Cricetulus griseus: one gene and its partner. The protein of the gene in region 2 binds, or shares a complex with, the protein of the main gene of each other region. Links are inferred from orthologs where the notes say so. Each region holds a gene or a part of one and is shown on either strand. Other genes may lie near its edges. The genes, in order: Gip and gastric inhibitory polypeptide receptor.

What was found.
Region 1: the proteins of gastric inhibitory polypeptide receptor (region 2) and Gip are in contact, whole or in part, in a cryo-EM structure (PDB 7RA3), measured with the Homo sapiens proteins. The link is inferred for Cricetulus griseus from reciprocal best matches to the Homo sapiens genes GIPR and GIP. Residues at the interface, in NP_000155.1 of Homo sapiens: Gln30, Thr31, Ala32, Leu35, Tyr36, Trp39, Tyr68, Trp71, Leu88, Trp90, Arg101, Arg113, His115, Asn120, Gln130, Arg131, Leu134, Glu135, Leu137, Gln138, Tyr141, Tyr145, Arg183, Ile187, Arg190, Asp191, Pro197, Gly198, Pro199, Tyr200; in NP_004114.1 of Homo sapiens: Tyr52, Ala53, Glu54, Gly55, Thr56, Phe57, Ile58, Ser59, Asp60, Tyr61, Ser62, Ile63, Ala64, Met65, Asp66, Lys67, Ile68, His69, Gln70, Gln71, Phe73, Val74, Trp76, Leu77, Leu78, Lys81.

What each region holds. Positions count from the first base shown.
Region 1 is NC_048600.1:109,160,651-109,165,105, reverse strand, and holds the start of Gip (gastric inhibitory polypeptide), read right to left. Parts: upstream 3,038-4,455; 5' UTR 3,026-3,037; coding exon 2,940-3,025; intron 1-2,939. UniProt on the Homo sapiens protein: Potent stimulator of insulin secretion and relatively poor inhibitor of gastric acid secretion.
Region 2 is NC_048602.1:28,197,752-28,202,125, reverse strand, and holds the start of gastric inhibitory polypeptide receptor, read right to left. Parts: upstream 3,099-4,374; coding exon 3,042-3,098; intron 2,645-3,041; coding exon 2,545-2,644; intron 2,037-2,544; coding exon 1,929-2,036; intron 1,571-1,928; coding exon 1,467-1,570; intron 1-1,466. UniProt on the Homo sapiens protein: This is a receptor for GIP. The activity of this receptor is mediated by G proteins which activate adenylyl cyclase.

The DNA of each region.
Region 1 (4,455 bases), on a different chromosome or scaffold from region 2:
TATTGAGCCTGTCAACCAGAGTTCAACCCCATGACCTACAGGATAGAGAGAACCAACTCCCAAAGGCTCAGTGTCAGTAATCTCAGTGTTCAGGAGCTGGAGGCAAGGGGATCCCAAATTCTGTTGTTTATATTTTATTATTATTATGGGATGTTTCCATGACAGAGCACATGTGCAGGCCAGTGGGTGCCTCTGTGGAGTTATTTCTCTCCTCCCACATTTTTGTGCCCTCTGCAGATTGAACTCAGGTTGTCGGGCTTGCATCGCTGGGCAAGTGACTTTACCCTCTTAGCCATCTCACTGGCCCCAGATGCCAAAGTTTTAAACTGCCCTGGGCTACATATTTAGATCCTGTGTCAATATAGCAACACCAACAATAACAGTATTTGGTGACATCACAGAGAGTACTTACTTTGACTCAAGCACTGCATGAGAGCTTTGGTTTATATTTTTTTTCGGTACTGGGAATTGAACCCAGTGCCTTGTATACATTAGGCAAGTGTCTTACCACTGCACTACATCCCCAGTCTGTACAAACTTTTTAGTACACAAAATTATCCCATCACAGCCCTATCAGACAGGTACTATTTGTATCTCATCTCCTTTTTCTTTTTCTTTTTCTTTTTTTTTAAAGATTTTATTTATCTATTATGTCTTCCACCTGCATGCTAGCAGAGGGCACCAGGTCTCTTTCAAGATGGTTGTGAGCCACCATATGGTTGCTGGGAACTGAACTCAGGACCTCTGGAAGAAGAGTCAGTGCTCTTAACCGCTGAGCCATCTCTCCAGCCCCCCCCTCCTTTTCTTAAATTTATTTTTATTTTATGTACATTAGTGTTTTGCCTGCATGCATGTCTGTGTGAAGGTGTTGGATCCACTGGAACTACAGTTAGACTGTGAGCTGCCTTGTGGGTACTGGGACTTGAACCCTGGTCCTTTGGAAGAGAAACCAGTGTTCTTAACCACTGAGCCATCTCCCCAGCCCTCCTCCTCTCTCTCTCTCTCTCTCTCTCTCTCTCTCTCTCTCTCTCTCTCTTTCTCTCTCTCTCCTCTCTCTCTCTCTCTCCTCTCTCTCTCTCTCTCTCTCTTTGGTTCTGGGATCAAATCCAGGACCTTGCACATGCCAGGTAAGTGTTTCACCACGCTTAGCCTGGTGGTGGTGGTGATGGTGATGGTGCATGCCTTTAATCCCAACACTTGGGAAACAGGGATCTGAGTTCAAGGTCTACAGAATGAGTTCCAGGATAGCCAGGGCTACACAGAGAAACTCTGTTTTGAACAACCACCACCACCAGTTTGCCTGCCTTCTGTGTCCCTATTTTGTGAATGAGGAAAACAGGGTCCCACACAGTATAAATGACAGATTCAGGATTCACTAATTAATTTGGAGCCAGGTTTCTGGGAGGGGGCACTGTTTGTCTTTCAGTTCTAGGGATGGAATCTATAAGTCTCATGCATGCCAGGCAAGTTCTGTACCACCGAGGAGTGTTTCCCGGCCCCAACCCTCTGGGATTGTTGTTGTTGCTGCTTTAGGTTTGTTAAGGTTCTGGGAAGCAAGATCTCTTGTATCCCAGGCTGGCCTCAAGCTCACTGTGTAGCTCAAGTTCACCATGAACTCCTGATCTTCCTGAGCCCTCTCACTAGTCCGGGGATGTAGGCAGCATGACACACGACACTGGCTTCCTGAGTTTCTGTTCTTTTTTTTTTTTTTTTTGAGACAGGGTCTCACTTTGTAGCCCTGGCTGGCCTGGAACTCACTGCCTGCCTCTGTTGTTTTGTTTTGCTTTTTGGCTTTTTGAGCCAGCTTTTCTCTGTGTGGCCCTGGTTGTCTTGGAACTAGATCTGTAGACCAGGCTGGCCTCTAACTCAGAGCTATCTGCCTTCCTGTGCCTCCTAAGTGCAGAGATTAAGGGCATATGACACTACTGCCTGGCCTGAGTCATTGTTCTAAACAAACACAAGGTCTGCTCTCCTGGTAGGTATTTCTGACAACTTTTGCTCACATTTCATGTGTGCCAACTTTGTGTGGTACATGGATTGCCCTTTCATCTGACAAAATCCAGTACTATTTGACAAGCCTCTGCCTCGGTCCCCAAACACACCATCAGAGCTCTGGCTCTGCCTCTCTGACTCTCATCATCTCCTCTGCCTCCGCCTCCTCCTTCTCCTCCTCCTCCTCCTCCTCCTCCTCCTCCTCCTCCTCCCTCCTCCTCCTTCTCCTCCTCCTCCTCTTCTCCCCCCTCCTCTCCCTCCTCCAGACTCTGGTCTTGTTATGTAGCCCAGGCTAGCCTCATACTTTTCAGTTTTCCTTGTCTCTTGCCTGCCAAGTGCTGAAGTTAAAGTTATAGGAGTGAACTGCCACACTCAATATTATCCCATCACAGGTCTGGTCCACTGTACTCAGTAACATGTTTGTTTGCTTGTTCCAAGACAGGGTTTCTTTGTGTAGCTTTGTAAACCAGAATGGCCTCGAACTCACAGAGATCTACCTGCCTCTGCCTGGGGTTAAAGGCATGCGCCACCACCGCCTGGCACTCTGTAACATGTTTATATGGTTCTTTTCTGTGTCTGCCGTGGTCCATGTACTCACTGAAGGCAGGAGCCATCAGTGAACCTTGGTTCACATGTATTCTGACCGTGTCTAGTGCACAGGAAGCGCTTATGAGATCTGAGTGAATGTGTGCATGCATCAATGATGGTTAGTTTTTGTAAGGGAGACCCTACACTGCAGACTCTCTGCCACCAAAAAGTCCTTCCACAGACCTAGCTAACCCCAGTCTTTCTCATTTCAACGGGAACTCGCAATAAATAAGCCGACATGCTCAGGCTGCAGACTGGCTCTCCTCTTTAACTCCCCTCCTCTCAGCCTGGAGTCCCTTTCTCACAATCCCTATCCCAAACCAGCTTATATTCCAGCCCCCTCCACCTTCCACTCCTACCTGAATTGAGCCTCTTCTTTTTCTCCCAGCCCGACCGCCAGGAAGAGGAGCACTAGCAGCAGAGAGCAGATCTTCATAGCCACCATCTTCCTAGGTTGAGTGCCTGAGCTGAAAGGAAAAAGGGCCAGTACTGCACTGAGGGGACATCCAGGAGGCCATTTGATGCTGGGACTTGGGCAAGTTCTGAGAGCTGGGGTGGGGCAGGAGCAAGTTAGGGTTACAGGAAGGGACTGGAAGGGGCATGGAGCCTTGACCCAGAGCTGATCTTGCTGTGTGGTTTCGGAGTGGGGTGGGGTGGAAGGTCTGGGAAGAAATCAGCAAAGGCCTAGGTGGTGGGAACTCCCTTTCTGGCTCATTACCAGACATCACAGGGACAGGATTTGGCAAGATTATCCCCTTAAAGCCCCGACAAAGTTCACAGCAGCCCACCTTCCCGCTTCCAACTAAGCTGTTACTCAGCCATCAAATCCCTTCTCTAGATGAAACCACACAGAGAACCATCCTACACACACACACACACACACACACACACACACACACACACACACACACACACTTGGGCTTAACTATCGCAACTTGGAAGTTCTTCCTAAAGTTTCTTCTGAACCCAATCCAGTCTTCTGGAGAGACGGCAGGCAGCAAGAAACCTTCCTCCTCTTTCAGTCTTCTGGAGAGACAGCAGGCAGCAAGAAACCTTCCTCCAGATCCCTGAAGGCCAGAGCTAGCCCAAGGCTTGGAGACCTGGTCTCCCTGGGAATCCCTTTGAACTATCTTCTGGATTCCCGTACAGATAAGGAGACAGAGTAAGGGGCCAGGAGACACACTTCCTCCCAGGCTATTCCATTGCTATCCCGGCCTCTTTCTTACCCCACTGCTCTTCTAGCTCTTCCAGGAGGGCAGGATAGGGTCCCTTCCTTCTCCCGTTGGCTCTCAGGACCTTGCTTCAAGACCCATCTTAGCTTCTTTATATGCAGGTGCTGCAGAGCCGCTGATTAGCCTGAGAGCCTCTTATCTCAGGTACTCAAGCCCACTGCTCCTGCCCAGTGAAGTCTATTGCACACCTAATGACGGTTCCCTGTCCACCTGGGCTGTGCTAATGGGTGATTAACATTTGGGTATCTCCAGCCCTTGTGGGCAAGGTCATTTGAACACCCCATTTTCCTTCCCCTCTTTTCTGGGCATTGGGCCCACTTTTCTCTGCCCTACTTCCTGTTGGGTGCTGCGGATAGAAAGGGTTACCTGGGTGAAGGGTAACTGAGGTGGCACTCTCTGATGGAGGGGGCATCCCCACAAAGCCGTAGGTGACTTCTGGGGGAAGAGAAGGGACAGTGGTGGTCTGAATCCCAGATATGGATATTAATTGATGGTGGTGGCAGTGCAGAGATGAGGCTACCTGGGGGTGGGTGTCTTCAGAATCCCTAGTGATTCTGATGAACTTGGAGTTTACAGTCACATGGTTTCCTACTTGGGCAGTATGACATGGCACAATTATATGTTGAAGGCTCCAGAAAGATCT
Region 2 (4,374 bases):
AAGAGATTAATGCTTCTTAACTCTTCCAACTGATGGGGAGTAGGGCTGCCCAGCATGCCTTTCTCTCCTCCCCCAGCCCGCTCTCCTCTGGGGAAAGGCCCCCTTTATTCTGTTCTTGCAGAGTGAAGCACCCTGGTTTTCTCCTTGAAACACGACTTACAAGTCTTCAAGTGGGGTTGACTCCATCCTTCGCTTCTAAGGCTGGATGTGCATATTTTTTTAAAGATTTTATTTATTTATTACATATACAGTCTTGTGCCTGCATGCCAGAAAAGGGCACCCGATCTCATTCAAGGTGGTTGTGAGCCACCATGTGGGTGCTGGGAATTGAACTCAGGACCTCTGGAAGAGCAGTCAGTGCTCTTAACCACTGAGCCATCTCTCCAGGCCCCTGGATGTGCATATTAACACACACACACACACACACACACACACACACACACACACAAGCACACGCGCGCTCGCGCACACACACACACACACACAAGCACACACACACAAGCACGCGCACATGCATGCCAGCCTGGTCTACAGAGTGAGCCACAACTACACAATGAGATCCTCCTGTCTCAAATCACCACAAAAAAAAAAAAGAGAGATGGCAAAATGGCTCAGCAGGTGCCTTTGCCGCACAAACCTGGTGACCTGAGTCCACCTGGGATCCTCAGAAAGGTGGAAAGAAAGAACCAAATACACAAAGTTGTCCTCTCTACATACGCTATGGTGCACACTCGCACACACACTCTAATAAAGGACTTTTAAGCCGGGTGTTGGTGGCGCACACCTTTAATCCCAGTACTCGGGAGGCAGAGGCAGGAGGATCTCTGTGAGTTCGAGACCAGCCTGGTCTACAAGAGCTAGTTCCAGGACAGGCTCCAAAGCCACAGAGAAACCCCGAAAAAAACAAACCAAAAAAAAAAAAAAAAAGTCTGGGGGCTGGAGAGATGGCTCAGAGGTTAAGAGCACTGACTGTTCTTCCAGAGGACCTGAGTTCAATTCCCAGCAACCACATGGTGGCTCACAACCATCCGTTATGAGATCTGGTGCCCTCTTCTGGTGTGCTGATATACATGGAAGCAGAATTTTGTATACCTGATAAATAAATAAAATCTTTTTAAAAAAATAAAACAAGTCTGACATTAATGGGCGATGCCTCTTCTTGATGTCCCACAGAAAAACTCAAGCTAACAGAGAAAGACCAACATGCCAAGGTGACAGAGCCCGTGTCATTTGGACACTTAGGTCTTACGCAACCTGGAGGTGTGACCTTATAGTGTAGGTTTCCATCTCGGAAACCAGCACCCCTTTCTTTTTTCTACTTTAAGCCAGTCTGAGTTGGATTTTAATTACTAACAAGCCAGAGTTCTACTCAGTACAAAGAGGTGACAAGTTGGGCTTGAAGCTCCTGAGGTGTTTTTGCCAACTCTCCCCAGACAGCCTAGCCTGAGTCCTTCACCTCTTCTCACCTGGAAGGCCCCGTTCTTCTCTGGATTCTCACACTGAGTGTGATCTCTCCAAGGCCCCCACTGGCCATCACTGCCACACTGGCGGAAGACATAGCCCGCAGCCACTAGGGGAGCAATAGAGAGGGGACCAGAGAAAGAGGTGTGTAAGCGGTTCACCACTGTAATCTCCACAATTGGGAGGCTGAGACAGGAGGGTTGCCATGAGCTCAAGGCCAGCCTGGTCCCTGGAGGAGTTGGTAGCGCCTGGGACCCAGATGGTGAAAGGATTACTGTAAATTGATCTCTTATCATCATCTCACCGCATAGCCTGTGCATCCGCACAGCCGCACAATAAATTAAGAATTGTGTGACAGAGCCCACGGAAACACCAGGCTTGACAGACAGGGTCAGGGGACGAATAGGAGCAGGAGGGTGAGCTGCCCAAATGTGGAGTCCCGGAGAGGGGTTCGGGGAGCGCCTCACCGTGGCGGTACCAGGGCAGATACCAGGGGCAGGATGCCCGGGCGGTGGTGTTGGCGGCCGTGTAGTCCCAGCAGACGTACATATCAAAGGACCCGTTACAGACCACGCCTGAAGGAGAGGGCAGCAGAGCCGGAGGCTGGAGGAGAGGGGCGTCCCAAGCTTCCCTTTCTTCCACACATACAGGATGCTGTCTCAGCGGCCACAAGCTCCTCTCACCCATCCATCCATCCCAGCAGTTCCCGAGGCTCCTCCCATCAAATAAAGCCCAACCCTGTATTATTATTCTCAACCAGAAAGCTTAATTATCCAACTCCACCCAAACCCAGCCCGCCCATTGTGGCGCAGGCCCCGCCCAGGACCCATCCCACCTCCCCGGCCCTGGAACTCGCCCTGCAGAGCTGGCTGGCCTCGAACTCACAAAGATCCGCCTGCCTCTGCCTGCCGAGTGCTGAGATTAAGGATTCTTCTATTCAACTGAATCCAACCAGGGTCCTCACAGCCTACCCGAGCCAAACCGCACCCCAAATGTCCTCGGAAACCTCCCAGATTTTCCTCTTCGGCCTCCCCCTCCTCATCTCGGCCCCTCCCTCCTGCTCGCCCAGCCCTCTCATCAGACCTGAGGGAGCATCTGCAGCCTCCAGGGTCTCCTCGCACTCCCGGCCATAGCGCTCCCAGCGCTGGTACAGCTCCCCCGTTGTCTGCCCCTCAGAGTCTGTCTAAGAGAAAAAGGGAAGAGAGGACCCCCACCCCCAGGGTGACCCCCTCCCAGGCAGCAAGCTCGATTGGGAAGGGCCAGAAGCACCCGTTTTGGAGATGCAGAGCCTCCTGGGTGGTTTACAAATCTTTTAGATGGAATAATTCTGGCGCCTAGAAAACCACCAAGGGATCTGACATGAGAGATGACAAATTTTTCAGAGCACCAAGGGTTCTGACATGAGAGACGACAAACTTTTCAGAGCACCAGAGAAGGGCGGTGGCTGCACCCCACCCACCGGGAGGACTTGTGAGGGAAGGTGTGGGTACAAACCACCAGACTGCAGCCTCAGAACTCTCCTTGAGGCAGGAGAAGGCTTAAAACCCTCCCAGACCGCCTGTGTCTCTCTGGGTCCTCACCTCCGCCTTCTGGAGGGGCAGTCCCCACAGACACAGCAGCAGAAGCCACAGGGGCATCCTTGAAGGGTGATGGAGACTGGCAGGCAGTTGGGTTGGAGGGTCCCAGGGCAGGATCAACACTTTCAGCCTCAGTCAGTGCTCACCTGCCAGATGCACACTGAGTCTGAGGCCACCCCCATTTATGCACAGGTGAGGAGGATTTGGGGTGGGGCCGGACTAGGCGAGGCCTCCAGTGGTTAAGTGCAGCCCTGATCAGCTCAGCGATTCCCAGGCCCTCCTAAGTGTTGCTGAGGCAGCCAAGGTGGAAGGGAGGGGTGTTTGCTGAGGGGCCTGTTGCCCTAGAGCTGTGACGGGCAGAAGCCTCAGTGTCAACCAGAGGCTAGACTGGAGAGACTCAGGAACCTGGGACCTTCTGGTGTGTGTGGGGTGGGGGTTGGGGAGTTGGGTGGGGAGGAGATAGAAACCATCAGTCAAGTCTAGAAGGGAACCTGAAATGACCATTTGAGTTCCCATCTTCCCAACCCAAAATGTTTTTTTAAATGAGATAGGAACCCATCTTCTAAAACTTTCCTGGCTTTGGATACATAAAGCCCAGAGTCAGAAAGACAACGTTCTCCTAGCATCCAAATACTGGGAAATTAGAGCCTGGGTTTCTGACTTTAGCATGCTAAATACTCCGCAAGCAAGCATCACCCACCCCGACCGAAAGCAGGGTTTCAGGAGGGAATCTCAGACTCAGGGACAATGAGACATAGCAGGAGATCAGAGACCAAAAGGCAAAAAAGGGCAGAGACAAAAATGTGGGCTCGGAGACCAAAAGGAGTGAGCCGGGAGAGACAGAGAGAGAATGGGAAAAGAGTGGAAATTAAGCCCACTAGAGACTGAGAGGTGAAGGGAGGGATGACCGGGCTAAAGGCAGAGAGAGAGAGAGACAAAGGTAGAGACAGAGAGACAGAGACGAGGGAGAGATAGACCCAGGGCAGGGGGTTGATGGGGACCCCTTACCTGTGCCCAGTCCCTGCTCCTAATCTCCGGGTCTCCTTCTCCTGCCACAGCTGCCCTGCCTCGCCTGTCTGAGCTCTGGAAGAGGTGACAGGCGCTGGCAGCCTGGGGTGTTGGAGGGGGCGGGGCCAGGGTGGAACAGAACAGGAGGGGGGTAGCTCTGGGGAAGAGTGGGAACTGCGGAGCAGGCACGTTTATCACAGCCACTCTGTGTCACGTAGGAGCAGCCACACAGTTATGGTCCGGCCCTCCCCCACCCCACCCCACCCCCAGCCACACAGAACACACACTCTACCGTCCAGCCACTTACACTTGGAGCCTGGCACGCATG